Coturnix japonica: one gene and its partners. The protein of the gene in region 1 binds, or shares a complex with, the protein of each later gene. Links are inferred from orthologs where the notes say so. Each region holds a gene or a part of one and is shown in the gene's direction. Other genes may lie near its edges.

Evidence for each region.
Region 2: CYFIP1 (region 1) and EIF4E share a complex: the UniProt entries of both Homo sapiens proteins name them as parts of the CYFIP1-EIF4E-FMR1 complex. The link is inferred for Coturnix japonica from reciprocal best matches to the Homo sapiens genes CYFIP1 and EIF4E.
Region 3: CYFIP1 (region 1) and WASF2 share a complex: the UniProt entries of both Homo sapiens proteins name them as parts of the WAVE2 complex. The link is inferred for Coturnix japonica from reciprocal best matches to the Homo sapiens genes CYFIP1 and WASF2.
Region 4: CYFIP1 (region 1) and ABI1 share a complex: the UniProt entries of both Homo sapiens proteins name them as parts of the WAVE2 complex. The link is inferred for Coturnix japonica from reciprocal best matches to the Homo sapiens genes CYFIP1 and ABI1.

What each region holds. Positions count from the first base shown.
Region 1 is NC_029516.1:117,488,120-117,495,816, forward strand, and holds part of CYFIP1 (cytoplasmic FMR1-interacting protein 1), read left to right. Parts: intron 1-1,610; 5' UTR 1,611-1,617; coding exon 1,618-1,734; intron 1,735-1,899; coding exon 1,900-1,989; intron 1,990-2,592; coding exon 2,593-2,670; intron 2,671-3,335; coding exon 3,336-3,437; intron 3,438-4,394; coding exon 4,395-4,576; intron 4,577-5,230; coding exon 5,231-5,327; intron 5,328-5,471; coding exon 5,472-5,600; intron 5,601-6,147; coding exon 6,148-6,252; intron 6,253-6,444; coding exon 6,445-6,536; intron 6,537-7,630; coding exon 7,631-7,697. UniProt on the Homo sapiens protein: Component of the CYFIP1-EIF4E-FMR1 complex which binds to the mRNA cap and mediates translational repression. In the CYFIP1-EIF4E-FMR1 complex this subunit is an adapter between EIF4E and FMR1.
Region 2 is NC_029519.1:53,877,671-53,885,367, reverse strand, and holds part of EIF4E (eukaryotic translation initiation factor 4E), read left to right. Parts: intron 1-4,343; coding exon 4,344-4,450; intron 4,451-6,114; coding exon 6,115-6,210; intron 6,211-7,453; coding exon 7,454-7,517; intron 7,518-7,697. UniProt on the Homo sapiens protein: Acts in the cytoplasm to initiate and regulate protein synthesis and is required in the nucleus for export of a subset of mRNAs from the nucleus to the cytoplasm which promotes processes such as RNA capping, processing and splicing.
Region 3 is NC_029538.1:1,773,430-1,781,126, reverse strand, and holds part of WASF2 (wiskott-Aldrich syndrome protein family member 2), read left to right. Parts: exon of another isoform or gene 1-82; intron 83-226; 5' UTR 227-250; coding exon 251-380; intron 381-4,161; coding exon 4,162-4,296; intron 4,297-4,808; coding exon 4,809-4,962; intron 4,963-6,020; coding exon 6,021-6,138; intron 6,139-7,133; coding exon 7,134-7,264; intron 7,265-7,697. UniProt on the Homo sapiens protein: Downstream effector molecule involved in the transmission of signals from tyrosine kinase receptors and small GTPases to the actin cytoskeleton. Promotes formation of actin filaments. Part of the WAVE complex that regulates lamellipodia formation.
Region 4 is NC_029517.1:14,559,119-14,565,798, forward strand, and holds the end of ABI1 (abl interactor 1), read left to right. Parts: intron 1-3,396; coding exon 3,397-3,582; intron 3,583-5,028; coding exon 5,029-5,204; 3' UTR 5,205-6,076; downstream 6,077-6,680. UniProt on the Homo sapiens protein: May act in negative regulation of cell growth and transformation by interacting with nonreceptor tyrosine kinases ABL1 and/or ABL2. May play a role in regulation of EGF-induced Erk pathway activation. Involved in cytoskeletal reorganization and EGFR signaling.

The sequences.
Region 1 (7,697 bases):
TTACATTCTCCCAATTCACAGAATGCTGCTCTATCTTTGTGAAATCATGCCGAAGGGCTTGGAAAAAATGTCCTTTCCTGTGTTTCTTCTCACAGTCTGAGGGGCAGCAGGAAGTCTTCCTTTCGTAGCCCTGTGCATCCGTCCTGCTGAGGGGCATTTCTCAGATTGGTGCTGTTAAATGGACTGCAGTGTAAGTGAGAGAGAGTTTGGGCTTTGCTTATCCTTTGGTTATTAGTTCTAAATTACTTTTCTAGTATCTGTATCTTTGGCTCTTGTTCCACACTGGGAAACAGGGCTGTGTTTGAGGAGGGGTAGAAGGATCACAGTATGGCTGAGGTTGGCAGAGCCCTCAGGGCCTACTTGCTCCAGCCCCAGCTCCAGAATCACAGAATTGTAGGGGTTGGAAGGGACCTCCAGAGATCATTGAGTCCAACCCCCCTGCCAAAGCAGGTTCCCTACACCAGGTTGCACAGGTAGGCGTCCAGGCAGGTCTTGAATATCTCCAGAGAATGAGACCAGCAGGGACACCCAGAGCAGGGTGCCCAGGGCCACATCCAGGCAGCTCTGGGAGATCCCCAAGGAGGAGACCCCACAGCCTCTGGGCAGCCTGTGCTGCTGCTCCATCACCTGAACAGCACAGGAGTGCTCCTGGCTTTCAGAGGGAGTTTTCAGCATATAATAGGCTTCAACTTCCTTGTGGGACTTGTGCCCAGATGTGGAATTCTTTTGGCATTTGTTTATTTATTGAAGGGAAGATGCTATGGCTTTTGCCTGCCTGTCATTTAAGAATAACCATATTGGCTGTGAAGGAGCTGTGCTGACTGCAGGCAGCTCTGTCAGCAAGCACTCCTGTCAGTCCTGTCCTTCATCATTTTTCAACTGGGACTGCAAGTTGTACAACATGTGCACTGCTTATTTATTTGTTTTAATGAAAACTTACCTGCTCAGGCTCGAAGCAGAGCTGGAGCCATCGATGGTTTCAAGAAGCAAATGCCTGCAGACCTGTCTGACAGCAGTTGTTAGAAACTGTTGGTGAGCTCTCTCCATGTGTGGTTTGTTGGTTTTGCAGCTACAGCTCAGCGTGCTGGTTGGTCTCTGAGGGCAGGTGGTTTATCAGTTCTGAGTGTTTCCTTCCCTTTGCTTTGGTTTTTGCTTTTACTCTTTGTTGTCTTTGGTGGTTTCTTCATTTGTTTATTTTTAACTTCAGATTGATGGTACTGTCCTTATGGTTACATCTGAGGGCAGTCCTTTTTTCCTGTGAATTTGATGTCAGTCTTTCCTCTGGTTTTGGTGTGGCAGGGAAGAAGAGAAGCGTTTCTGAAGTCATAAAGTAAGGAGGAGGTTGTTAGTCCTAACATTCATTTTAAACTTGTATACTGAAACCGGCTGGGTTTTGGTTTGATGGTGTACCTCTTCCATTATGGTGTCTAGGAAATGTTTTCATCAAAGGGAAACTACCTGTTTCCCACAGTAGTAATGGTTCCCTGCTCTTTGCGGTATTTGTTTGTTTTCTGTTTAAGTGGTTAGATGTATATATAGGAAAAAAAAACAACTACAGTTACATGTATGTATACATATACATATATATGTATGTATTTTTTTAACCACAGCTGCAAAATGACTGCTCAAGTAACACTGGAGGATGCCTTATCCAATGTGGATCTCTTGGAAGAGTTACCATTGCCAGATCAGCAACCGTGTATTGAACCCCCACCATCATCTCTGCTTTACCAGGTCTGCTGTCATTTTAGACAAAAAATACTGCAGTTCTTTTGCAAGAATATATACTCTTAAAAAGCAAGCAAACAAAATAACAATAACAGAACTGTTCGCATTTATGATACGTAAAAATTATTTTCCTTCCCAATAATTTGATTTGATATTTTGCTTTCTTTGCAGCCAAACTTCAACACTAACTTTGAGGACAGAAATGCATTTGTCACTGGTATTGCAAGATACATTGAGCAAGCTACAGTCCACTCTAGCATGGTAAGAAGGTGTTCAGGTAGATACGTCTCTGCTAGCTGGAATTAAAGGGAAATAAAGGGTCATTTTGCATGTCGTTGTAAGAATTGTGGTCACAGAAAAGAAGTTGCCTGTAACGTTTCCAGGAGGCAGTAACACACACAAGAGTGTGGCATTTCTTTTCTTGCACATAATTGCCGGTAGTTTTAAAAAATTTCCTGTGCTTCTCTGTCAGTGTAGTGACAGTGAGGGTTTATTTTTGGCTTCCTCACTGTATACATTTGTTGTTTATTGACATGCTTTTGTGTCAGGTCTTTTGTGGTATTTAACATAACAGTTACACAATAGAAGATGAGACTTGTTAGTCATAACTCTCTCTCTGCTGGTGATATTGTTGTTTTGGGATACAAAGGAACTTGCAGGTTGTAAACACTGTTCCATTCTGAACTTTTAGTTGTTTTGTGCTGGTTTAAAAAACATGCAGTAAGATGTATCATTCAGCTTGCAATACACATTTGCACATATACTTTCTGATAAGAAAAAGTTTACTTTGGAACAATGGCAGAGAAATGAATTTAACTCCTATGTTTTACACTGCTATATTGTTACCGAGTTTCTCTCTTGCAGAATGAAATGTTAGAAGAGGGCCAGGAATATGCTGTCATGTTGTATACATGGAGGAGCTGCTCAAGAGCCATTCCCCAGGTAAAGGGTCCGAAATAAACCATCATGTATCATGTGCACTTCTGTCTTGGTTACAGATTTAGTAATGAGTTCTGAAATTAAGTTTGCTTTGATCCCTGAATTAGCAAGCTGTGCATGCCATAGAACAGTGTCTTAACACATGGGAACTAGTTGGACTTCTTTTTTTTTTCTTCCCCAAACATTTAAATTCAGAGCAGGTTTAACAGGTGATGCAGCATGTGATAATTAGCATTTGGGTTAAACATCCTAGGTTTTCAAATGGTTATTTTCTCCTTGTCAGAGCTATGCAGTGTTTTCTTGATCCGTGTGCAGAAATAAAAGCCTGTGAATGCATGTCTGGGAATGGTGATACGGGGATGGGATGGGAAGAATATTAAGATGCATCAGGAAAATTAAAGTTGTGAATTGGCAACAGCTTGCAAATATTTTTATGCACAAAGAACAGAGATAACAGAGAAAAAAAAATAAATCTCAATTTCTGTTTTTAAACTCGATGAAAAATGGCGAAGATTCACTAATGCCAGCTATCGATGCCTTAAATTTGTATAGTTAAGATGAGAATATGTTTTCTAGTTTGTCATTTGGGATCTGAGTTTCTGAGGGAATTTTTTTTTTTATCTGGGAAAGCTGTAAGTGTGATTGATGGTCTTTCTAATTGTCTTCAGGTTAAGTGCAACGAGCAGCCTAACAGAGTGGAAATTTATGAGAAGACAGTAGAAGTTCTGGAGCCAGAAGTCACAAAACTTATGAAGTTCATGTATTTCCAGGTAAAAGGAATAGAAATTAAACATTTGTTAGCAATATTATATGCTTATTCTGTATGCTTGATATTACATGCTCAGATATTCAACTTAATCGTTATAATTTGGTGGAAAAAAAGATCTCTCAGAAGGGCAGCATTTCTAAAACTTCAGGAGTTTCACAGAATAAGAGAATTGCAGGGGTTGGAAGGGACCTCTAGTGATCATTGAATCCTACTCCCTGCTAAAGCAGTTCCCTACAGCAGGTCTCAGTGGGAAGCATCCAGGTGGTTCTCGAGTATCTCCAGAGAAGGAGACTCCACAACCTCTCTGGGCCACCACTCTCACAGTAAATAAATTCTTCCTTGTGTTTGTATGGAATTTCCTGTGTTCCAGCTTCTGCCCATTGCTCCTTGTTCTATTGCTGCGCACCACCACCTAAAAAAGAGATTCCTCCATTAAGACTTTGAGGATAAAATAGAAGGTAATTGCACATGGTCCCTGACACCATGGAAGGAACAGAAGTGCAACACATTTTGTGTATGTGTAAGGCAATCTCAGATGGCCCTGGTGCACACTTGGAAATAAGCCCTCAAATAACCACGTGCAAAGATGGCTGTGCTGACATTAATCACTATTCTGCTATAAAATCACTTGTTTCAAAGGGATTTTAAATTTTTCTGACTTCAGATTGCAGATAATATTTCCAATTGTGCCAGGCAGGTTCTGCCTGTCATAAGGAAATCCTTTGTGACATTTGTAGTACACAGAGGTGAAGCTGGAAAGGCCGTGCTCATGTGTTGTTGGCCTCACAGGCCTTAAATGTTTTTGTTGCTTTGGTGGTGCTTTTCATCACCTCTTATAGGTGCACCAAAGTGGACTGTTGTTAAGAGGGGAGGACAGACAGGTGTGAGACCTCTGGTTGTGGGATGAATCTTGGAAACATTGTGGCTTTTACTCTCTGACTCTTTTTTGTTTCGTTAGAGAAATGCAATTGAACGGTTTTGTGGGGAGGTGAGACGCTTGTGCCATGCAGAGAGGAGAAAAGACTTTGTCTCTGAAGCGTATCTGATCACACTGGGCAAATTTATCAACATGTTTGCAGTACTAGATGAGCTGAAGAATATGAAGTGCAGTGTGAAGAACGACCATTCAGCCTACAAGAGGTGAGCTCTTAAGGACAGGATCAGGATTTATGCTGTGGGGAGACAGAGCTCCCACAAGATGGCAGCAGTAGCTCCCTTTTGGGCAGCTTTTTCTGCAATTACTGCAGCTAAACCATTGACTAAATTGACTTTCTTTATGCTGCTCTTCCAGCAACTAAAGATTGTTCTGTCTTTTGAGGCAAAACTGGCAAGTACTTCTATCATGGCGTTCACTAAATGTATTGGATATGCACTGCTCAATACTGCTTTTCAAGTTTCAGAGAAAGCTGACTTTTTGTTCTACTCCAGTTTTTGGCATCCAGTTTTGATGCTTGTAACTTAAAGTTGTTCTTACGATATTTCAGTGTTGCTCTTAAGAATTGTCAATAAAAGGGTAGGTTTGGCTAACATGTTTTTGTGAAGCTTTGGCAAGAAAGCACTAGCCTTATGTGTAAAAATCTTTTTCTGCCTGATTCAGGAGATGGGAGATATGCAAAGGTCAGTAACCTTGTACATGCAACAAATGGTGTTGCCATTGTACTGATTGTACTGATAGTTACAGGTTCTATTGACTACCCGATAGATGCAGAGATGAGTGTGTTGAGAGGGGATGAGTTTGCTTACAAGCATTGCCACTGAAGGGAAATATGGTTGTTTTATTTTCTATTTGCAAAGAGCTGCTCAGTTCCTACGGAAAATGGCAGATCCTCAATCCATTCAAGAGTCCCAGAATCTCTCCATGTTCCTTGCTAATCACAACAAGATAACACAGGTAAGCTTCAATTGCCTTTTTCCAAAATACTGAATGCTGTATAAAACCTTTAAAAGAAAACCCTTTCAGTTTGGTAGTAGCTGCTGATCCTAAGGGACTGTAACTTCTTGACTAATGTCCTTTCTCCTTTTTTTTTTTTTCCAGTCGTTACAGCAGCAGTTGGAGGTGATTGTTGGCTATGAAGAACTGCTTGCAGATATTGTGAATTTGTGTGTGGACTACTATGAAAACAAAATGTATCTAACCCCCAGCGAGAAACATATGCTTTTGAAAGTAAGTTTCTTTTCAGTACAAACTTAAAGAAAGGTTGAAGCAGAACAAAGATGTTTGCATTCTTCTTGGATTTTTGTTTCCTTTTGCCAGAACCACATGAACTTTTAACACTGAATCTGTTAAGGAAACTTCTAATCCATTTTTGTTCTTCATAAATTGAGGTTAGTCTAACTGAACTGCAGCCTTGTTGGGAAACTAATTCTATAGAGTGGTGTTTCTATGAAGTATAACAACAACAGAAGGGAACTAGGGAACCTTAGTTCTAGATAGGTGGCAAATAAAAAGGCTTCTGGAGGTGATGCTGCGTATCAAAGCTTTGAGGAAACAAGTAACTTAAAAATTAGGGTAAGTAATCAGAAAAATTTAGCTCATATAAGTACATTTAATAGAAGAGTGCCAGGCAATGTGTATCAGTTGGTTGATAAGCGAAAGAAGTAGAAGAAGAAAGAAGTATGGAGTAAATACTGAGTGTTTGTCTTATGTTTTCAGCGTGTTTTTACCCCTGAGGTTCTTTTGCAGAGAGCTTTGTTTCTTTTTCTTTTGCCAGGTTATGGGCTTTGGATTGTACCTGATGGATGGAAGTGTCAGTAACATCTACAAGCTGGATGCAAAAAAAAGGATAAATTTAGCCAAGATTGACAAATTCTTTAAGGTTGGTTAAGATAAGCATTTCCTAATATGTAATGTAGAAGGCAGTTCCCCCTGCATTTTAAATTGACGGCCAGATTAATATAATCAAATACAACAAAGATCACTTTGGACTATCACTGGGTGAATAGCATTTTCCTTTCACTAAGATGCATATTTAATCATTTATCTAATCTAATCTATTCCCTTTGTGCAGCAGCTGCAGGTGGTTCCTTTATTCGGTGATATGCAGATTGAACTTGCAAGATACATCAAGACAAGTGCCCATTATGAGGAAAACAAGTCGAGGTAGGTAGGACAAGGATACAGAGAGGGGAGTATATGGGCTGGGGAAGTTCAGACCCATAAGGTATAATTTCATAATCACCTGATAATAATCTATGGTAATTACTTTAAATAGGATTTTCACCTTGGTCCATTTTTTGGTGTGGGTATTTCACTATTAATGTACTTTGCATAGTAGATACAATGGAAAGGACAGGTTATTTAACCATCTTTCTGTGCTGCTGAGCTATTCTTGCATCGGTGGCATTGCTTTTCACCTGGGTTGGAGGATGTAAAATTTACCTTACACTAATGTAATTTTTATCTTTTCCTTTAAATATGAAACTTTCTGTAAAAGAAATGAAGGATTATACTAAGCAAGGTGAGCAGTAGTGCATGTGTATATTGTACATGGAGCAGAAACTTAGCTTGTGTCCCTCTTCTTTTTGTTTTGGTAGGGGTACAATGCAGCAAAATGGCTAGAAAATGCAGCTGTTTTATATAAATTGTTCCACGGTTTATGGTTATTGCTTCATTTTAGTAAATGTTCCTGTGCACCTCTGAGACCTTCCCTCCATGCAGTTATGTGAATTTAGAATGTAGTGCTTCGCATTTTAATTCCTGCAGAAAAAAATATGTAACTTGCATGTAATTGCTAAGAGAAAATCAACAGTAGCGAGCCTACTGAGCTACTAAAAGTATGAGGCTGTTTAACACAACATTTGGTAGCATGTATTTTGTGTCTCTCTTGATAACATGTTAATAGTATTTAATAATATTTTTATATTTGGAGCATACTGTAAGCTCTCCTTAGTTAAACATGAATGAAGAAGAACAAGCTGAAAGTGGCTAAACATCTTATGGCCTATACTTGTCCCTCTGCCCTGGCTTTCAGTCCTTTTTGGTCCTGTCCCTAAGTGTGTGCTTTTGAAGAGAGATGGCAGTTTGTATTTCACAGCAGCAGCAAAGTGAAAGAGGAGATGAAAGGTCTCGCATGGATGAGAAGGAAGATTTAAGGAAAAAAAAGAAGTCACACATTTTTGTTCTTTCTTTTTTAGTATCAGCTGCAGTCTTTATTGCATCAACTGATTAAAGATTTTTTTTGTCTTCTGCAACAGATGGACGTGCACGTCTTCCAGCAGCAGTCCCCAGTACAATATATGTGAGCAGATGATCCAAATCAGA
Region 2 (7,697 bases), on another chromosome or scaffold:
TGATATGCCTAGAACGTTTTTTGTTCAGGTGTCTGAAAAGCCATTTTACGTTGCTGGATTTGCAGTGGGGTGCTGCTGGTACCTTTATTCCAGTCAGTAACATGTATGCTCCATGTGATTTTTACCTCTGTGTAGTCATTCCTCTGAGTCGGGTATCAGTCCTGCTGATCTGTAGAATGCCATGTTAGTTTTGTTTTCTGTCAACACATGGGATTTTCTTGTGGGTGGGCTTAAATTCTTAGAGTATTTGAGATAAGTAACTCTTGATTTTGGTACTTTGTGAATAGCTGTCCTAACTGTGGTGCAGTACAGGTATCTACAAGAAGCACCAGGAGATAAGCGACGTACTTTTGCCATAGACATCTGCAAATTGGACCACGCATTTTTCTTCTCTTGGACACCCGAAGCGAGGGGGTGGAACCCCTCAGATGTGTCTTAGTTTGGTTTAATTCAAAGAAACTGCACAAGCTTCTTCTGCAAGCTGAATTCTCTGAAGTTTCATCAGGAATGCACACGGGTGTGAGGTTGCATCCTTCTGGAACATACATGTCATTCTTTTAACTGCACTTCCTAAACAACTTTTGTAGATCATTAAATTATGGATGTGGTCGGGGCGGTATCTGCGAACACTGGGTGGAACCTAGTCAAGCGGGTTGCTTCTTTTAAATAACCTGACTATGCAGTTCTTGCAGTGAGAAGCACCCATTTCCTGTCCCAGTGACATGCACACCTTCCTTTCATACACTTGTCGTTATGTGCTGTGGAGACGGAATGAATAACACCAATTAAGTCTGCAAGTGTCAGAATCCAGGTAACGTGCAGATAGGCACAGTCACTAAATGCTGAGTAGGTGAATATTTCGTAAACTCCTGCAAGCTGATTCCTACAGCAAGAAGCATGTGGGTAGCAAATGTCACTCCTAATTATGTGCTGTATTGTGTTTGGGGAGTAGGATTGGCCATTTGAAGCTTTCCAGTCTGGCTGGTAATGCTACCCTCTTTTATTACATCTGTTTTAAAAGCAGCAAACTCAGTGATGGTTTAATAGTAGACGCAATGTCAATTTTAGGTTAAAGAAGGCATTAGTTATGAGCAATAGTAAAATACTGTAAATGAATATAAGTCTAGAAGCCCAGAAACTGTGGGCGGAGACGATCTGGCTTTAAGTTAATAGTGCAGCAATTGCAAGACTTCGAAGTGTGAACTGGTAAAACACACAAAACATAACTTTAATTCACGCTGTATTTATAGAATCATGTAAAGGCAGTGTTGGGTGCATGCTTGTGGTTTGTTGTAGGATTTCAGTAGCTGGGAAGAGGTTGGGCACAAGAAAGGGATTCTGGCGGTTACTTTGCTGGCATGCTTTGTGTTTGATTAATGGGAAATAGTTTGCTATGCAAACACTTCTGTTTGGGTAGAATGGTGAGATAAATGAGATGAAAAGAAAAGGGAGCCGGTATGGTTAACTAACTGAAAATGAAAGTCTTTTTATTTTGATGGATAACGCTGGGAAATGAAAGGTAGCGCACATGAGCTGCTTTAAGCTTCTGCTTTAGATTAAGTAGAAAAGCTTTGTGATAGAAGACTTTGCTTCCAACTTTACACCTGCTTCCAAGTTTACTGTGGTGTGTGCAGCTGTACCTGTCCTTGATGAAATCCTCCTCAGGCTGGGCTCGTTCTCAAGGAGAACTGTGTGGTCCTGAGCTGAGACCATGGCCAAGTCTTAGAAGTGAGTTGTCATGTGCTGCTTTGGGCAAGAGCTTGAAAGGTTGGGTAGTCTGAGCTTCATTAAAGTTATGCAGCTTTCAAAACATCTTAAGAGAGTTATTATTATGGTGACTTAAAAACACTTCTGCGGAGTCAGATGTCTCCATTTGTTCCAAAATGGACTTTCATGTGGTTACCCTGTCAAGGGTGACCTTTGGTGTACAGGGTTGGTACAATGAGGCTCATTGTGTTTTTGCATTGTCTGCAGGTGCTGTCTTAGGCCTTTCTGATGTTGTCTTCCATTAGAAATGAGAAATTGCATTTATATGGTAGTCCTGCATGTGCTTGGTTTTGTGTTAATCCTTCCAATTGGGATCATTGTGTTTCTGGAAGAGTGAGCTGAGAGATGCCAGAATCAGCTCTTTGTTGGTTGAAAGCTCTTTGCTGAGCAAATGTGAAGTTTGACAAGACGCTGTTGGATGTTAAAGTCTTTAGCGTTTGATATCTACTATTTAGAATTGATTTACAACTGTAGAATAACGTGAATGAAAGCAAGTATTAGCATGAACCCTTGCACTTAGTTTACTTCCCAAATACTGATTTTTATTATTATTTTTTATACCCTTCAAATTAAGTGTTTGACAGGGTGTTCTGTGTACGCCTTGATTTCATGTATTATACTGCAAGCTGTAACTCAAGGGAGCTGCTGAAATACTGCTTTGGTGTATTTGGTCGCCTTTGTGCACTGACCATCTTAATTTCTTCTCTGTGACTCCTGTGTGTGATTAAAGGGAAGGGTAAGGATCTAATCCCATCCCATCAATTTAAAAATAGATGTGTCTAAGACTGTAAATCTTGCTCTAGAAAGGATTTGAAACTCTCACTGGTCCTCTACTTAATTCTTGAAGGACTCTTCTGTTTGTTAGAGTATTTCACTGGAAGAAATAGAACAGATTGACAAGCCCGCAGAAGGCAGTGTTAAGTAGTGATGGCCCTCGTAAGGGACTCTTTAGAAAGCATTTATTCCCTTAAAACAGGTGGGAGATTGTACTACCTACCCCTTGTAACGTGTAAATCAAAGCAGTACCCTAATTGTCGCTGCCCCATGAGGCCTTCTTATCTCACTCTGAGCATGGGAACATATGAAAGCCTTCTTAAACGTGGTATAAATTATGTTTAGCTTTTGAACTAATGTCTTTGCTGGGTAGACTGTTAAAATAAGCATCGTTTTCCCCAGGCATGAAGGTGTAGTTTGTCTGAAGTTAACTATGCTGCTGTTCTTAAGCAGTAGCACTAGATGTATTGATAATGAAAGTCTGTGTTAAGCCCGGTCTCTAGATGTTGCCAGAAGAGTTTGTCAGCTGGTCCGGTGAAGGTTAAGTGCTGCTTGTTATCACTTCAAATCCATTCCACTTTTCAGCAGCTCTGGTCATGACGAACTGAGTAACTTGGAAATTGCTCCCTCCATTAGATGACAGACTTAATCCACTGATTTACCTAATCCACTCCTATGTTACTTTATTCTTTTAAGACCACAAAAGTTAAGCTCTATTTAAGTACTGCTTTTGCTTTGCTACATTTAGGAATGACTAAGGTCTTTGGGTCTGCTGTAATTCATATTTGTTTATATTCTTAAAGTGCTTTTTCTGGGATAACTGGAGGAAATGAACTCTATTGTTCATTTCTTGTCTTATTGCAATATTCTAGCATCAATTGCAGGTTAGGGAGAGATGGTGGTAACTGGAGAGAGCATTTGGCCTCACAATAAAGCTTTGTATTCTAGCTTTGAAGGTATGCCATTAGAATTGCAAACCCGACACAGTGGTTTCTCAAATGACAAGCTTGGTGGTGGTGGGGGGGATGTTATGTGCAAAGGGAATGTTCTTTCTCTTTTGTGTTGAAACTTTTGATATCTATAACACTCTGTAGAGATTTGGGGGGGGGGGGGGGGGGTGGAACATAGAATTGGGCAAACCTGTGATAAATCGTGTGAAATTAAATATCAGTTTGATGTTTGAGAACTAATAACTGTTTAAATTATGTTGCTTGGTGCCTGAAACATTGTTAGTAGTAATGTTGCAAATAAAGATACCTGCTTACCATTTTAGTTTGTTCCCTGCCTACAGTAGTGATTTTATATTGATAAGTTCTGGATCTATATCAGACTTGTAATAGCACATTTTTCTAAATAAGCATGGACTTTGTTTACAGTGACACTTCGTTTTATCCAAAAATCATCATGTTTTCGTTGTGAAGCTATTACTGTTCTGGGAATTAATTTAGAGGTGCCTATTCTAGATAATGTACAATATTGTTTTTTTCCAAAATAACTCAGCAGCATCTTAGTTGAAGACAAACTTGTCCAGGAAACAGAGCTGGGGACAAATGACAGAGGCAACAAGTTGATGAACAGCTCAATGGGAGCCCCTGCAACTGGTATTATAGGGCCTGTTCAGGTGGTGAAAGATAAAGGGATACAAATTGTGCTTCTGTGATGTGATTTGACACCCCACCCTCCCAATCCAATTTGAGTTAGAGGAATTCTAAGTTTCTGCGGTCTTAAAGTTACTTGGAAGAGCTAAAGTGCAACAATGAAAATTGAAAAGGAACTTATTAATAAATCCTTTCTTCAAACAGGAAACCACTCCCAACCCTCAACCTTCAGAAGAGGAGAAAACCGAGCCAGCGCCTACTCAGGAGGTTGCCAACCCTGAACAGTATATTAAGCATCCACTACAAAACAGGTGAGTAGTATGGAAGCCATGATAATGGAACTGAAAGTAGTGAAGCTGCCTTATTTTGCCAAACTGCTTATTAGGCTTGAAATATCCGGAATGGCTGGTGTCTACAGTAATAATGTCATCACCTGTAGGAAGCACAGCAGAAGAAGCACTGTAAAGAGCTAATGCGTATGCTTGTATTAATGTCTCATTAAGAGTAAAAGCTGTAGGGCACCTGAATTTTCATTTTTATCGAGAAAAATACGGAGTCGCAGTTGGAAATAAAGAAGAAGCATTGAAAAATCCAAGCCCTCCTAATTAAATTCTATGTTTAGCGTGCAGAAATAGGTACTACTTAAATTAGTAAGCTACTATTGCTTTCTGACTTTGCTGCAGAGACAGCGAGGACTTCACAAGTATAAAATTTCTTGATAAACTAGCACTTGGACCGACTTTCTACAGAAGTTTTAAGCTGCTTACAGGTTGAATTTGTTTAAATGCGCAAAGAGACTGCAGCACATACATGTACTTCAAATAGAGCAGCTGGGTGCTCATCTCCTCAGCTAAGGAGTTGTTGTGGAGTTGCTGTTAAGTGCTGCCCTAAATAGAATATTACTGTGTGTCAGGCTTCTTACTCTTTTCTGTTCTGAGCGAATGAGAACTATATGTCATGTTTCATCTTTTCCCTCCACTCTCTGCTGTCTTCTGTCCGTTTTCCTGTAATTACTTTGCTGACACTTTCCCATAAGTGGTGTGGGACTTTTTCTAGAAAATAGTTAACTTCTAAAGCAAGGTTTGAAATAGTCAGTAAGTCTCAGCAAATGGACACCAGGTGTTTTCAGGAGTACTGTGGCAAGATAAATCTACTCTAGTGGTAACTCGAGTCAGCTCAATGCTCCTGAAGTGATCAACATGAGAAGTAGGCCTCTTCTGTTAAACACCTCTCAGGTATCTCCTTCCAGCATTTTAGACAATATTCTTCTGATTCCTAAGGAATGTCTTTGAGTGTAAAGATGATTTCTTTTTTTCTAATAGTAGGTGTTGAAACTTGTACTCAGTTGAGACGTTGAAGAAAATAGGGTGGAAAATTTAAGTATTCACTTGTGTGAATCTAAAAACCCGAAGTGAAGCTTAAGCTGGTAGTTTTATAAAAAATGAATTCAAGTGACTTCTATTGAAATTTGTTCTCCCGGTGGGTGAATGCTAGGGAGACATTCATCTATATGCATACACTAGAATTAGCTTTTGACTTTTACAGAGAAATTATGGAATAGGCAGCTGAGTTCCAGATTGGGATAGTTGGCACTGCTTCAAACCATGATTGTTACTGGTGGGAGGACTTTGCAGTTTACCAGTGGCAAAAAGGGGAATCATCTGAGGCTTAGAGATTTAGTCTTAGAAATGACCCAAACACATTAGAAATAATTACCTCAATGATAATATAACTTGATATGATGTAATTACTTGATATGATAATCAAGTCTCCCATGACTGTTGTAACTCTAGGATACATGCTGTAGAGCTAGATTTTAGAAATGAATTTTTCACATTGCCAGCTAATGAAAACTGCTTTCCGTGCTAATAACCTCTTGAGGTTTGCGATTACTTGGTATATAATCAGTACTGAATTTTATTTGTAACGTGCTTTAATTCTAGATGCTATTATTCTGTACTCTGTTCTCCTTTAGATGGGCGCTCTGGTTTTTTAAAAATGACAAGAGCAAAACTTGGCAAGCAAATCTCCGTCTGATCTCAAAGTTTGATACTGTTGAAGATTTTTGGGCGTAAGTAAACATGCCTTGGTCTGCACAATGCTGATATGTGATAGCTAAATTTATGCTGAAATCAGAAGGTGTAAAGTTTTTCATTAGCCACAACTCTTTGGAAATACCTATAAAATTAATGGCCAGATCTTGATTCTTCAGAGTTTGCAAGAATGTAACCCAGAATAATATAACATTTGAATTATGTGTAATTGGAGAAGTTCTTCATATTTTTAATGCACATCAGTGAAAGTAGCACCATCAGAGAGGAAACGTGTTGAAGATTTTAAGCTGATGTTTGTCAGTACAGTCATTGGAGGAAGGGGAGCAGGACTCAGTTCTTGAAAACAGTTTTTGCATCCCCCTGGTGGGATATGTGATAAGTTGTTTGAAGCTTATCAGTGTACTTAGTGATGGGTAAGTTTTTGAGCTGTGTAATCAAGGCTGTAGTGGAAAAGTGTTCAGATGTCTCCAGTCAAGCTATAAAATAAGTTGAAGTAGTTAGTTTTCTTTTTAGTACTGGACCATGCCTAAGTGTTAGTTAGTCTTGAACTACAGTTTAGTGTTTGATGCAGACCATCTTCTGAAGTGTCACCTTAGCAGTGCAGGAAAGAAAAGCACCTGCCTTCTTGCTAGGAGGCTGTATGAACTGCCTCAACTTCTTAGCTCTCAATTGCATAGTCGTGAATTTAATTCTGGCTGTATTTTGTATTGTTCTTCCAGTCATCTGTTCTTGCCATATGAGTTCTTATTTCAGTTTGAATTATCGGGCTTACAGTCTTCAACTACAGAGTACAGAAGTGAATAAAATCTAATTGAATACTTTTAAAAATCTCTCTGCAGAGAGAATAACCATAGGTGTTTAAATTGTTATTCTATTAAATTGTTATGCATATATAGAGGACGAGTACACATGCACAAAACTTCCTTTTTTGCATGAAAGTTCAGTAAGTTATGTTTATTATTTTTAACTTGTTAGAACTAAGTTTAGAAGAAGGAAAGGTATTTCTGGGAAATACTGTGGTATAGGAGCCCAGCAAGTGTTGATGAAACCAGCTTCCATTCTGCTTCTTTGAGCTAGAACTCATTAAAGCTAATGCTTTTGTACTGCTGGGGGAAAAAACCTAGGTAACAGGGTTGCTTCTGAATTACTTTAATGCTGTTTAAATTTTGTATTTTATTCAGACATGTCCTAAATTCTTTTAGCATTTTGTACCTTAAAATAATGTTTAGTTTTTAATCCTGCTGTTTTTCCCTCCAATAGTTTATACAACCATATCCAGCTCTCTAGTAATTTAATGCCTGGTTGTGACTACTCGCTGTTTAAGGTATGCTTGCTAACAATTTTTCTTCCATTGTGGATGTTGATCGATGGTTTCCCGACTAAGCAAGACTGTGTCCAAACATTTCATTTCAGACATGTAGGAGCACAGCTGGAGATGTCCTAAAAGTCTTAATTTTTAGGAAGTCCCAAAAGTGCACTCTGAAAATCACAGTTACTGATACTG
Region 3 (7,697 bases), on another chromosome or scaffold:
CCATACCTGAGCTGGTGGGACTGTGCTGTCACCGAGTCACAGAACAGCGGGATCTTTATTTCTGAAGGACCAGTATTATAAGGTCGGGGAAGGGAGGGGGAAAGGAGGCTTATAAATAAAGCCATTTGAGAGCAGGAAAAACGAACACCACGGCTCTGGTGTGCCTGGAATTTGCGGTTGAGTAATCCTTTCCTGTTTCTTTTTTGGGTTGTTTTTCATCTTTCAGAACAGCGCCTGAAGCAGGTCCACCATGCCGTTAGTAACGAGGAACATTGAGCCAAGGCACCTGTGCCGTCAGACGTTGCCTAGCGTTCGAAGCGAGCTGGAATGCATGACCAACATCACCCTGGCAAATGTCATTCGACAGCTGGGCAGCCTGAGTGAGTACCATGGCGAGCCTGCGCGTTGCCCTCAGGAGTCGCTAGTGCTCTTTATTTAGCTCCCTTTCTACTCTTGTGTTCCTATTTCTCCCCCATCTGCCTTCCCCGGGTAATGCTAAAATGTTTTCCTAAAGAAATGCGATGCTAATTTCATATCCCTGGTCCCACCGCCTTCCCCAGCTAGAAGAAACTGGGGAGGGGGTGTGCGCATGTGTGTGCGTGCGTGTGTGCGAGGCTGCAGCAAAGCTGCAGATGGAAGGATGGAGCACAACTCAGCCTTGTAAAATGGGAGGCTCTCGGAGCAGCCAGGATCTTGTGTCAGAGAATGTGCCTCTAATTGCGTGCGCTACTAAATGGAGCTTGACTGTGCCGAAGCTATGGTGTGTAAGTAGTCTTCTTTTTAATGAAGGATAATTAAAGCGCCCGTGCAGAAGCAGCCTGTTGGCCCCTGCTGTGTGCTACCTTGGAAGACCCAAAGTCCCCAAGCATTGCCTTTGGAGCACAGGGGGCTCAGGGCTGCTCGCACAGACGGCAGCACCGAGCTCAGCTCTCCGGTGAGCTGCCCCATAGCCTGGGAAAGGCTATAGGGAAAACATGGGCCTGCATGGCATGGGAGGAGAGAAGAGTTAATGGTGGTCTCTGTGGGATGGCTCCGTCCTCTCTTGAAATGCTCTGGCTTCTGATTAGCCGCCTCTGCCCTTGAAGCGAGACTATGAGAATCCAACTCATATTGTTGAGCTTATTGGTGGTGTCTGCGAGCACTTGTGCTTGCTCTGCAATGTAAGGCCCTTGCCTCGTGTGGCAGGAAAGCCTCAGCTACAGCCTCTTTCCAGCAGTGAAAGCCATGGCTGCAACTGAAATCGGGGCCTGTGATGGCTGCCAGTCGGTGTCACGTTCTGTTTTGGGCTGTGGAAATGTCACTGCACGGGCAGGACCCGTCCATCCGCTCACATCCCACTGACCCCTGTTGGTCGTTTGGTGGCTCTGGTAGCCAAGATGGTTGTGGAATGCGAGGAGAATCCATCTCGTGCATGTGAAATGAGGAGGAAGGAGGCAGTAAAGCTGTGCAGATCTCAGCTGCAGAGAAAGCTAATCCCAGTCCAAAGGCATGCAGCGGGTTAGTGTGACAGAGCCCTGGTGAGATCCTGCAGATTTAGGCCGTCTTTGCAAAGCTCAGATATTCAAAGCTTCTCCATGGCTGCCTCAGCTGGACACAGTGAAGCACTGGGAGCCACATTGCAGCCAGGCTCCTTTGCTAGGAAGGTGCCCTGTGATATCTGCGTGGTGCAGGGAGGGAGCTGCATGCAGCCAGGTACCTGGAGGAGAGCAGGGCATGTGGGGGGATAATGAGCACCATCCCTTATCCGCATCCCTGTGGTCAGCGGTGCTTTAAATGAAGCTATTTAGACTCGGTGCTGCACAGCACTCGCAGCCAGCTGACCAAAGTCCTGCCCCCCTCCTTTACCTCTCTTACTTTGGAGGAAGAAATCCACTCCTCCTTCGTACGCTGAGCGTTGAGGGAATGCGAAGCAGGTTCAGTAGGCTGTGACAGCTCTGTCAAGTGAATAATCAGCCATGCCTGCTGCACCACAGTCTCTTTACAAAGATGCAAACATAAATCTTGTCAAACTTTCATATTCCAGTGAGTTTACCCTTCGTTACTATCACAGCTGGTAGCGCTCTGTATAAGCCGGCTGTGCAGTGCTATGGAATGCACGAGCTAAAGATGGAGAGACCTATTGAATCACACCGCCTGTCTTCCTGCCAGTGCGTGACAGAGATCATTCTGATTGTGAGTTGCACTTTTGCAACAGTCAAAGTAATGAGACCAAAAATGAATCTCTGCCTTTCCCCATCTAAAACTGCACGTGGAGCACTGAAGCGTATGCCAGATCCTGAATGGTAACTCAGGACTGATGCACTTAGACAGGTGAGGGAACACCAACCATCCCTGCTGCTTACGGGGCTAAGGACACCACGTGCAGTGCTCTTTGTGCTTGAAACATGCAGCTCAGCACCACAAACTTGGTATCTTCCCTTCTACTTGTTGCAGTTCCTGGTGAGATTTGGAACTGATTCTCGGTTCTCATTAACACAGAACCAAATTACAGCTCTGTGGGCTGTTGCTGGGAGGGGCAACAAATGATCACGTAGGTAAGTGTTCACTTCCTTTGGTCAAACAGGAGAGCTGGTGCTGATGGTGAGCACAGAGTGCTTGGTGAAACGTGGCTGCAGTGAGTGCAATCCAGCCCTTGGGTCTCCATGGCTGCAGTCCTCCCCATGAGGTTGGGGAGAGCTGGCTGGGCTTGTTAGCAGAGCATACGTGGAGTCAGTGCTGTCCAGGTGAGCCGAGGGAGGTCAGCTGCAGTTCACATCCAGCTTTTACCTTCTGCAGGCACTTGGAGCTGGCACTGCCACCAGAAAGGGTGGGGGAGGTTGATTTTTAACCTGCCTCGTTCTCCGTGCTTGGCAGTGTAAGGAGAACTGCGTGGCATTGTGAACGAGTCACTGATAACAGGGGGGGAATGAGCAACCTCTGCTATGGGTGTCAGCTCAGCCCTGCTGGAAGGCTTTGCACAGGCACTACCAGCTGCCATTGCTGTGCCTCGTGGAGGGGATCTTTCCCCTGTGACGTGCTGCAGACAGCCACATTTTCCAGCATTGCTGTTAAAGTCGGCCTTCCCACTGCTTATCCTTCCCTGAATGTCGGAGAGGATCTCTGGGACTAACAGATTCCAGAACAAACTGCTGACCGTGTGATGATGCACTTACAGAACCAGACGGCTCGTTGGGAGCAGCCTCGTGCTCAGCAGCCGTGCCTGGAAATGTTTCCCATCAATGGGAACTCGGTGGGTCTGGCTGCTGTCAGTGCCAAGTCTGTTCCCACCCCATCAGTGCTGTCCTCTGCGTGGTTATTTGGGGTTCCCACCCTCAGGTTATGCTGGAGAGCAGAGCACTAAGGACGTTGCTCCTTTTAGCTTCTTATTCTGTCAGTTCACCCATCTCTGTTCACCCGTGGTCATGTCTCCTTGCATATGTAGATTTTAAACTCTTCAGGACGGGGGGCTTCTTTTTGTTAGACTTGTAAGTGGTGCAGCAGGCTCCTGGTCCAAGCCCCGAGGCGCTCTCACCATCCAAACGATGGATGATGTTTGTCATCGCAGCTCACTGGGCAAGCCAAGCTGTTACAGAGAGAATATTCCTGTTGGAGAAGTTCCCTTTTGGTTTTGATTTAGAATAAACGTGAATGCATCAATTTTTCAGACACTGCCACCTGAAGGAACAAAAGGGTCAGTGCTTTTGTCTGCGGTTATAGCTCAGGCTTTAGGATCAAGGACTGGGTCTGCTCTCTGGTTCCAGAGCTCTTTGAGCTTGTAAATATGTGCCAGTTCCCCTGGAGGCGGGTCTGCTGGAGACCAGGAGCCTTTGAGCTTCTCCAGAGCAATAAAAGTCTGTGTTGTCTTGTCTAATAAACAGCAGCAGTGAATCTTAAAGGACCTGCAGACCCATCCGGATTCAGACCACTGTTACGTTGTCAGCCCTCTTTTTCATTACTCTAATACGGGCTTGAAAGCACGTCTCAATTGTTTCTTTGTGGCCCAGAGATCCCTCAGAAATGTCAGGTGTTGGTGGAAGGGAATGTTGTCTTTTTGGGTGTTGCACCCAACCCTGGTGTGGCTCATTCTTCTTTCTTTCTTTCTTTCTTTGAGAAGACAAAGTGGGAGTCGGCGTGTGGTTTGATGTGGCTGATGATGGTAACACGGTCACTTTAATACTGCAGGTAAATTTGCTGAGGACATATTTGGAGAGCTGTTCACTCAAGCCAACACTTTTGCCTCCCGGATGAGCGTTCTTGTCGAGAGAGTTGACCGCCTGCAAGTCAAAGTCACTCAGCTGGATCCCAAAGAGGAGGAAGGTAATGGAGTGCAGCACGGTCCCTGCAGACAAAGCGTGGTAAAGGTTCTCTTGGAGCCCGGCTGGTCCATGGCCCTACAATGAGCATGGTGCTATGGTTGGTGTTAATGTCTTCTCTTGGACTAAGAGGGACTGTTCTGTCCCTCCCAATGAAGCCCGGTGCTGCCATGTGAGCATCCATCTGGCTGGGGAGAGATTTCCTTGTTAGCAGTTCTCCATGTGGAAGCTCGTCCTTCAGCAGTTGGGTGCCCATAGACTTCCCAAGTCTTGGTTGCAGGGGTTTGAAACCACGCTGGCAGCTATTGAGCCGTGTCTGTACAGCAGCAGGTTTTGTCACAGCACTGTGTGAGATTTGCTGGGCTTCCCGAGAGATCTGTGGGAACAGGAACCTGAGCTTAAGGAGTGCTGAGCACGCCAAGAACTCCAGCTGAAATCAGATGTTTGCTGCTCGATCCTCAGTGCCGTTGGCCTGGGTCAAGCTGCTCTTCACTCGCTCTTTTCTCTTTCTTACAGTCTCCCTGCAAGGCATTAACACCAGGAAGGCCTTCAAAAGTTCTACAACTCAGGACCAGAAGCTCTTCGACAGAGATTCTTTGCCAGTGCCTGTCCTTGAAACCTATGGGACCTGCAATACTCCTCCACCTCTCAACATTCTTTCCCCTTACAGGTAACACCACAACACCTCCGTAGGCACTTGTTCCCTTACAGAGGAAGCTGCTTCCTCCCGTCCAGCCGAGGTCATTTCCCATCCCCTGCTGTACTGAAGTAGCCATCTTCAATAGGAAATAGAGTTGGAGATCCCCCAGGAAATCTCACGTGAAACTTTGCTTTTGAGGCTGTACAAATGAGCATAGCTAGAAAATTATACGTTTGGTTACCTGCTGTCACTTTTGTGACCGCCTTGGGGCAAGGCTTGCCTTGCACTGCATAAACACGCAAGGTATTGTGCAGGTGATGCATTTTTCTTATGCTTCACTGTAGCCCCGTGGCTTCTTTCCAGAAGGCTGCAGTGCAAATTGCAGAGCATCCATCTGTGTGTGGCTCTCACCCCAGTGGGCGCAGCAGGCTCCTGTAGGTCTGGGGATGCTTCCCATGGCCTCCCACGCCTGCACTGAGACATCCAATGTGACCTAGGTGGGCTGTGTGAGCCCTTCTCTCCTGCTGTGTCGTTCCATCTTGTCCATAGTAGAAGCAAAGGGGGTCAGAATGCAGAGACTTAGCCCACATCCATAAATATCTTCTGAACAGGTAAAAAGTAATTACAGATAGCTGGAGGCAGCTGTCTTCTGCCAGACGCAGCTGCACTGCAAAGTAGGAGAGTGAGTGTGTGTGCACACACGAGTTTCAAGGACGCTGCCGGTCTGATTTAGGGTTCCCAAGCTGGAGAAGATTTTTTCACACCAAAAATACAAGACAAACAAGTGGGAGTTGGAGTGAGAGACCTGCTGCTCTCCTGCTGGTTGCTCAGAGCAGCCGAGCTCTGAAATCCAGAGCGTGTGTGAGGGTGGAAGCGATGGCAAGGGGGAGTGCTGGGACAGGCGGCTGCTGCTGTGGGTCTGCTGCCTATTTTTGAATGGAGGACAGAGGTGAGAGCAGAGCGTTTGACCTTCTCAGTGCAGCCCTTTAATCTGTTGACTGGGCTGGTGGCTTTTATTTTTCTTTGGGCTGCAAACAGTTGCATGACTTGGCCTCTTGTTTGTGTGTGTTTCCTCCCCCCTGTTCTAGGGACGATGGCAAGGAGGCGCTTAAATTCTACACGGATCCTTCCTATTTCTTTGACCTCTGGAAGGAGAAAATGCTCCAGGACACCAAGGATATTATGAAAGAGAAGAGGAAGCACAGGGTGAGGGAATGGGAGATCTCTGGCAACAGCAGCATGTCGGGGTGGGAAAGGAGGTGGAAAGCGTTAATGAGCTCCAAAGTTACTCTCCGAAATTGAGGTTTCCTCTCTTAAGCTCTTTGGGGATCAATTCGGAGAAGTTTTGATCTGCTTTACTTTCATCGCTGTTAATTAAAAAGAAGACAACAAGGATACCCTTAATCTGGTTTTCCAAATGCCATCTTCTTTGTGTTGTTAGGAGGGTTTAATTTGATGTCTTCCAACACAGCGCTGATGCAGCCGGCAGAGCAGGGCTGTGCCAGTCTTTGTGCTTGTGGTGGTGCATGGGGGTCTGCTCAGTGTTGAAGCAGTGCAGGTCCCACTGCCCCAGCTCTGTGCTTTGCCAAGTGCTGCAATGAATTCTATTGTGGAAGAGGAAACATTCAGGGGTGCCAGAAGAGTTAAATGAGCAGCCATTGGGAGGCTTAGCAAAGCCATGCAAGCTGAAAGCACCAGGTGAAGCTCCTGGTTTGGTTACTGGGGGATTTGAACCAGGTGACACCACAAAAGCTTCAGTTTGAGCGTACCTTATTTAGCGTTTGGGCAACCAAAGTCCTGAATATCAAAAGAGTAACAAAGGAGGGAGCCTGGACGTGTCAGAACATAGAAACCAAGGCTCACGGCAGGTTCACCCAAAGCATTAACACCAGCAAAGCAGTGGTAGGGTTTGGCAGCCTTGACGCACGGGCCAGAAGCAGAATTGATGTGGGGAAATGGAGCTCTCGCTGCCCTCAAGGTGGTGGTGCCAGGCTGGAGCCCTGCCGTCGTGCTGGGGAAGCTGGGTGGTGTCTTTTGCTCTGCTCCATCTTCTTTGTCTGGGAGGACGTTGGAGCTTTCAGCAGTCAGGAAAATGAATGACAAACCCTGGCCCTCTTGTCTTATCCAATCCCTTCCTGTTCCCGGTGAGTTTAAAGCAAAAAAAGGCTTTTGTTTGATTCCTCCTCCCTTTCCTCCCCTAGAAAGAGAAAAAGGAGAATCCGAACCGAGGAAACGTGAACCCCCGGAAAATCAAAACCAGGAAAGAAGAGTGGGAGAAACTGAAAATGGGGCAAGAATTCGTTGAGATCAAGGACAAACACGGCCCTGCTGGGTAAGCAAGTGCAGGGCTCGGCTCTGCTCCCCAGCAAGGGGCAGCGGGTGGCGTTGATTGTAATGCAGTTCACCCTGCTCTGCAGCTTCTCCAGATCCGCTGCACAGTGCGGATCGATACTGCCACTAATCAGATTCTCCAAAGTAAATCCATCTGCGGATTTAGAATTTGCTAAATAAATCAGGGAGCCACACGGCTTCAACAGGGTGGCAGGAACAGCCTCAGCAGCACGGCTGCTCCCATCTGCCTGCCTGGCGGGCACGCAGCACAGAAGGCTTTGGCTGCACACCCCGTGGCAATGCCCTTCCATCACCCCGAGCTCTGGGGCTGCTGCTGAGGAGCGGGGTGGCATCTCGGTGGTGTGATGGCTTTGTTAAATCTCACTACCGGCTCTTCACGCCCTGGAGTTGAAGCGGGGGCAGTTCCCATCCAA
Region 4 (6,680 bases), on another chromosome or scaffold:
CTCTCGCCCGCCTTTCATTCTCCATTGCTTTGTGTTCTGTAGCCAGATTTCCCTACTGAGCTGCTTGCAGCATAGCTCTGTGGATAGATTTGTGAGAGATGCTCCCTGGCTGTGATCTGTTTTCCACTGCTATCTCTGCTTTTACCATTATTGCTCGATTCATTTCAGGAGAGTGTTCCTATCCCGAATGCTAGTGCAGGGTTAAAGTCTTGCTCCTGCTCTAGGTTTATCTTTGCTGTGGGAGAATGTTGTTGTTTTGTAGACAACAGAAAGAATGCAATGCAGGTAGGGCATAAAATAACACATTTTTGGGGTGTTTGGGAATCATGGTGGAGTCTGTTAGAATCTCAGGGACTGTTACTGTGCAGTGGTGCTCCAGGATATGCTGAGGGGCCCTCCGCACTGATCAGAGCTGCTATAAAGCTTCCCCTATGAGCTCCTTAGTGCTCATATTGTGAGCATTTCCCCAGGCATAAGAAGCATCTCTGTGGTTCCCATTCAGAAAGAAGGTATTTTGGTGTTATATTAGGTGAATGTTAAGAATTGTGTTTATGTTGATTAGCATGCCAGAAAATTGACATACCTTCTCCAAATGAGAAGTGTAGAGGTAGATGTACTAAAGATGGCTTTACTTGCAGATAAACTTGAGAAAATTGACACCTGCTTCTGAATTGTTCCATGTATTGTCTTCTTGGAGATAACGCAGCACTTGGGAGAGCAGAGGTGAAAGGGAAAGACTATTTGTCCGTGTCACAACAAAAATTAAAGCTGACTTGTGAATGAGATTGCAGCAGAAAGTAGCTTGAAACCTGGTCTAGGAATTATCATGTTTATTTTCTTTCTTTAATAGTCTCTGGGGTTTGAGAGTTCTCTAATGAATGTGGCTTTGAGCTGCTGCTGCTGCCTTGTATCAGAGGTGGGAGTGTATGTGGTAGCTGTGCATGCACTCGGCAGAACTGGATGGCAGGGGACCTTGATATATCTTGTTTTCAGCACAGTCACAGGGAATGGAGTTACAGAGACAATGGTAGGCTTCTGTCTTATGGGAAAAGTAATTTTTCCCTTTTCATAAAGATTGGTGGGTTTCGAAAGCATTCTCTGTGCACACTGTGGACTCCTTTCAGAATTTTTCTAGGGCAGGGGATTAGAAAATGCTCGAGGCCTGTTCTTTTTTCCTGCGCCCTGTGCCCAAGCTGTGGGTGTTTCCTGCAGAGAGGTTTAGCAACGTGCCCAGGGATCAGCGACTGGCTGTCAGCTGCTGCACTCTCACACCCAGTCTGTTAAAGAGGAGTCTGCAGGGCCCCACTTAACAACAGGGATGTGAATAGAAGCTAGAGAAGATGCTTCGGTTTGGAGCTTTGTTAAGTCTGGTCCCTGTACCCTTCCTCACTTAGGGTACTTTTGTATGCCATGTTTTCCCCTAGAAAAATAAATACTGTTCCTGATTTTGCCTGGCTGAGTTGAGAGCCAGGCAATGTCTGGGTTACAATCCCGGAGGTGGGGACGCATTCATGGGGTGACACTTGTCTGATTTTCTGTTCTGTTTTCTCCCCTTGTGTAAATGTGATGTTGAATTGTTTTCCACGTTTCCCATAAAACACACAGTGTCAGCACAGCATTTTGGTCAGGGTGTGTGTTGGTGCTTCCATGCTCACATTTCCTGCCCTCTTTTGTTCTTGTCAAATAAGCATCTTCACTGTTGAATAAATACAGCCTTTATTAAGGTAAGGATTTCTCAGCATCTCAAAGGATTGTTGTTCAGTACTTTTCTTTTCCTGGCTGGAGCTGGATATGAAGGGTAGGAGTGCATTTTGTGAAGGATGTGCTGAAAAGAGCACACGAACCCCGTGTGTTTATAAATAGTGCTGTCATGTGCCTGTGGTGTAATAATGAAGCCTGCCCGTGAGTGCTGCTCAGTAATGCAGGCAAGACAGAGCGCTCAGTTGGACAGAGACTTTGTTAGTCTGTCTGCAAGTGACATCACTGGGTTTCTGTATGGAAGAGGAATTGCTAACACAGTGGCAGCCGCCTCCTGACACAAGGCTGTGGGGCACAGAGCTCAGCTAGCCACACTGCGGGGAGCTGTGATTGAGGTGACAGCAGTGCCTTGGGGGGCTGTGGCCTTCCACCATCACAGCACAGCCTCTCTGGCACAGCTAGAGCTTCAGAGCTGCCCTGAGCTGTGTTACTGACCAAAGGTTAGTCACTGGTTAGTAGTGGCCAGGCAGAAGTGAAGAGCATTAAAGCAAACAAATGTAACTAGCAATAGCTAGAGCTTGACTCCATGCTGTGTACTTTCCTTGCTTTCCAGCTTGTCTTTCTTAAAGATAGCAGTGCTCTAGAGCACATGCCCTGCTCTTTCAGTTATGCCCTCTCAGAGCAGAGGATTTCAGCCTGTGTCTGTGTTTCATATGCAGACTCCCAGATTGCTTGTCATTAAATCCATGTGCCTATGCAGCAGCACTGAGCTCGGTGATGGTTCCTTACAGTAACTCCCACCCAGGTTGTGTGTAGTGGCCCCAGATCCAGGGAATGAGATGGGCAGCCTGGTGTCTCGCATCTGAGATCTCTCTCCTCCCTTTGCTGCTGGTTACTAAGAACTGTTTGGAAGAGTGGTTTGTTCCATAATGCCTTTCTCTTTTCCCTTTCCCAAAGCAACTTGTGCTGGTTGGAGAGTCTCAGGGCAGGGATTTGACATTTTGGATTGCTCCCTTAATGCCTTGAGCACTTTCTCCCAAAGAGCAGCAGCTGCCTGTTGTAGTTTTCCATTTGTTAACGGATCCTGGATGTGTGCATACACACAAGCCAGTCTGCGGGATGCTGATCAGTACAAAGCTTTTCTTCCGCAGTAAGATTGCTTGGCTTTCTCCCACTTGGTTAATTCTGAAGCCCAGTCTCATCCCTTTTTGTGATCTATACCAGATCTTTTTGCCCTCTTAGGGATAGCTCTGAGAGAAGGAATCCAAAGAAGCAGTGTTCACAAACAAATGGAAGTGGTTGTACAGGCTTTGTGCAGAACGAATTGTGCTGCTGGCTGCCCAGCAGCTGCTGCTGCCCGGCTCAGAGGGTGCTGCTCGCAGTGCTCCCATAGCTTCCGCTGCAGCCAGCCCTCAGCATGGCCGGCGAGCAGGGCTGCCCGCTGCTGGTGTTCAGCTTATGCCGTGCAGCATGTGCTTTGACTCTAGTAGCATCTCTACGTAGATCTGACCACTAATAATGAACGTAGCTGCGTGTTGTAGCTGTTAATACAAAGCCTCTGTTTCTAATCAGTGCATGGTATTATAGCGCATGCTGTGTGTTGTCATCCCCTCCCCTTTTATTTACAGTCTACAGCCTCAGGTTTGTTTATATCTGCACGCTGGTTTTCATGTAAAAAAACTTTCCCAACGTTTCCAGTTGCCGATAGCCCGACTCCTCCCCCCCCGCCGCCCCCCGATGAGATGCCAATGTTCGATGACTCCCCCCCACCTCCACCCCCACCCCCTGTGGACTATGAGGACGAGGAGGCTGCTGTTGTGCAGTACAGCGATCCCTACGCGGATGGAGATCCTGCCTGGGCGCCGAAGAACTACATAGAGAAAGGTAGGAAGGGCTGCAACTGTGTACCTGCAGCACCAGGGATTAATGGTATCTGAAGGGGGTGAATGACTAAGTTTGGTCTGATGAAAAGTCATTGTCCCTGCTAGTCAGAACTCGAAGCGTTCTGTTCTTAGTTTGTCAGTGGCTACACCTGATGTGATAAAACATAATCCTTTTAAAGAAGGATTATAAAATATCTTCAAGCATTCTAGAATAAAGGGATAAAAAAAATATAGCAAAACAGTTATGAGAAGCAGATATGAATCCGATGGCTTTTCATCTTTGCTAAGCTGCTGGACTGCATCTGCGGCTACCTCAGGGCTGCTGAGCAGTCATCTAGAAAGAGCGCTGCACAAAGCCCAGAAAGCCCATGCTCTGTCCTGTTTTATCCCCCATCCAGCTGAAAAGCCAGCGAGAGCAGACCATGAAGCTTTTTGCTGTGAAATGTAGTGGGCCTTCCATGGAGACAGTGACAGGACAAGGAGGGATGGTTTTAAACTGAAAGGGGAGATTTAGGTTAGATATTTGGAGGAAATTTTCTTTGAGGATGGGGAGGCCCTGGCAGTGGCTGCCCAGAGAGCAGGGGGTGCCCCATCCCTGGAGGTGTTCAAGGCTGGATAGAACGGGGCCCTGGGCAGTCTGAGCTGCTGGGTGGGAGCCCTACACATTGCAGGGGGTTAGAACTGGATGGGCCTTTAGGTACCTTCCAACCCAAACCGTTCTGTGAGTCTGTGAGACATACCAGTGAGTCTGCATCAGCAGACTGTAAATGTGCTTAGACATAAACTCATACAATAAACATTTCTTCCCGCGAATGACTGATTTCCTGCCCATGGAGCTGTCTCTTTTAGGGCAGTGACCAGTCTGTCAACAGCAACGCTGCAAGTTTTCTCAGGCCCTGGCTGGTACTGTCATGTGCATGCAATGTGTCTGTGGTACCATCTTGGCAGCAGCGGTGGAACTGCTGTGTTCAGTCCTTGCTGCTGGCTGTACTGCATGCAGGGCATGGTATAGTTGCAGGGGCTATTGTGTAAGAAATGTTCCTAGTGGTCTTCTTCTGCAGAGTGATTTTTTTTTTAAGGCTTTCTCTAATCAAGATATGCAGGGATCGATGCCTTTGGGGCAGTCTGAGCAGAAATGAACACCACATTCACTAGGCCCACCTAGTGCATAACCCAGCTTATAGGTGGCCATATGCACTGGTGCACAGCACCCCAGCCAGCCCATGCCAGAAGGCTTAGGAGCATTTAGTGCAGTCACCACCCACTGCTTATGGGCAGCCAGGACTGCAAGAAAGGGGAGAAGTCACTTTCTGGACTTGATGTTGAATGGGAAAACTGTGAATTCAGAACAGAAAATGCCAGGATGGCAAACAAGTCTTTACAAAATATGATGATGCTGAGGGGTGCTATTAACATAGTGCTAACATTTTCCCTGTTCAATCCACAGTTGTTGCTATATATGACTATACAAAGGACAAAGATGACGAGCTGTCGTTTATGGAGGGTGCAATCATTTATGTGATAAAGAAGAACGATGACGGCTGGTATGAAGGAGTTTGCAATCGAGTAACCGGCTTGTTTCCTGGGAATTATGTTGAGTCAATCATGCACTATGCCGATTAAAATTGCTTTTCCAAGTTGGGTCTTGTACTCGGTCATACCATGATTATTTACAAGGGGTAACTAAAAGCTAACAGAATTGTCTTAATATACTTTCCAAAAAATGTGCCCATTTCTTCAGGCCATACTGTTTTAATGGTATGATTGAATGTCCATCTCTCTGAGTCTCTGGGGGCAGTATGTCTTACCTGATGGCAATTTGTAAAACAAGCAACTGTCTATAACTGGTTATACTTATTTACTTACGCATTGTTAATTTTATGACCAGCCTAAATATTCTGGGGAAGTAGGGTATAATATTTAATGAACCATGATTCAGATTGTGCCATTACATTTTTCAGTACAGCATGGTAACTAACACTACGTTAGACTAACATATTAAAATCTGGATGAGAAGTTTAATGTTAGTGCTGGTCATGTTACTTTTTGTTTAGACTCTTTGCTCATTCTTGAACTATATTTGTTTAAAGCATGCATACAAACTTATGTATTGAAATATACTTTTTTAAAAATCCAAGATGCTTCCAATTGTTGTAATCTTTACCTGGAGTATTCTCACTAAAGTCTATTACGATGAGTTGTTCGGGTCTAAGGTGTCCATGTGAATCAAAAAAATGGGTGGTCTTATGTATGTGTAATTTGTACCCAAGTTTTTTTAATAAGTAAATTTACATTATGACTTTTTCCATTCATAAATATATAAGTGAACCAAAGGTCTTGTCCATTACTTTGTTGGTTGGCTTGACAAAGAAGTTTGGAATGCTAACGTAGCAAAATCACGGCTGTGTTATCCCAGGCAATGTACTAAAAAGCAAATGTTTGTAACATGACTTTATCACTGACAGAGGGCAAATAAATTAGATATGAAACCTGAATTACCCATTTATACAAACTCCTAAAAGTTCTTTTCTTCCAGTGTCAGTTTTAGCAAGAGTTGAACGTAGTTATCTAGATAGAATGAGTTGACACTGTCTGTAGCTGACATTTCTCAGTGGAAACTGTGTCTGGACGTGGTAGTGTGCCCAGCTGAGCAGAGACAGGGGGCTGTGCTGCAGATCTGACAGAGAGGAAACAGCCAGAACAGGACGAGGATTCCTTTTACCTGGCATGGAGCAACACACTTAAACCATTTGCATCAAAGGATAACAAGCAGAGATAGCTAGAGGTGATACTTCTGTTCTGCAAATACTGTGGTTTAAATAACCTGAAAAGGAATGCGGTAGTACTGGATAATTACTGTAATAGGAATGTGTCTGTGACTTCAAAGCAGTCTTCTACTGAGAGGGCATTGGATATTCTCTGTAAATGAGTGATGGAAGATGATGGAGTTGAAGCTTTGGCTGGCTGTTGAATCATTCATTGTAGCGTGGGTTTGAAATACTAAACCTTCTACTTTCCCAACTGCTGGCAAGTAACAACCAATAACATACCTGTATTTCATTATGAATTGGAAACTAGTTACATATACAACCTATTCAA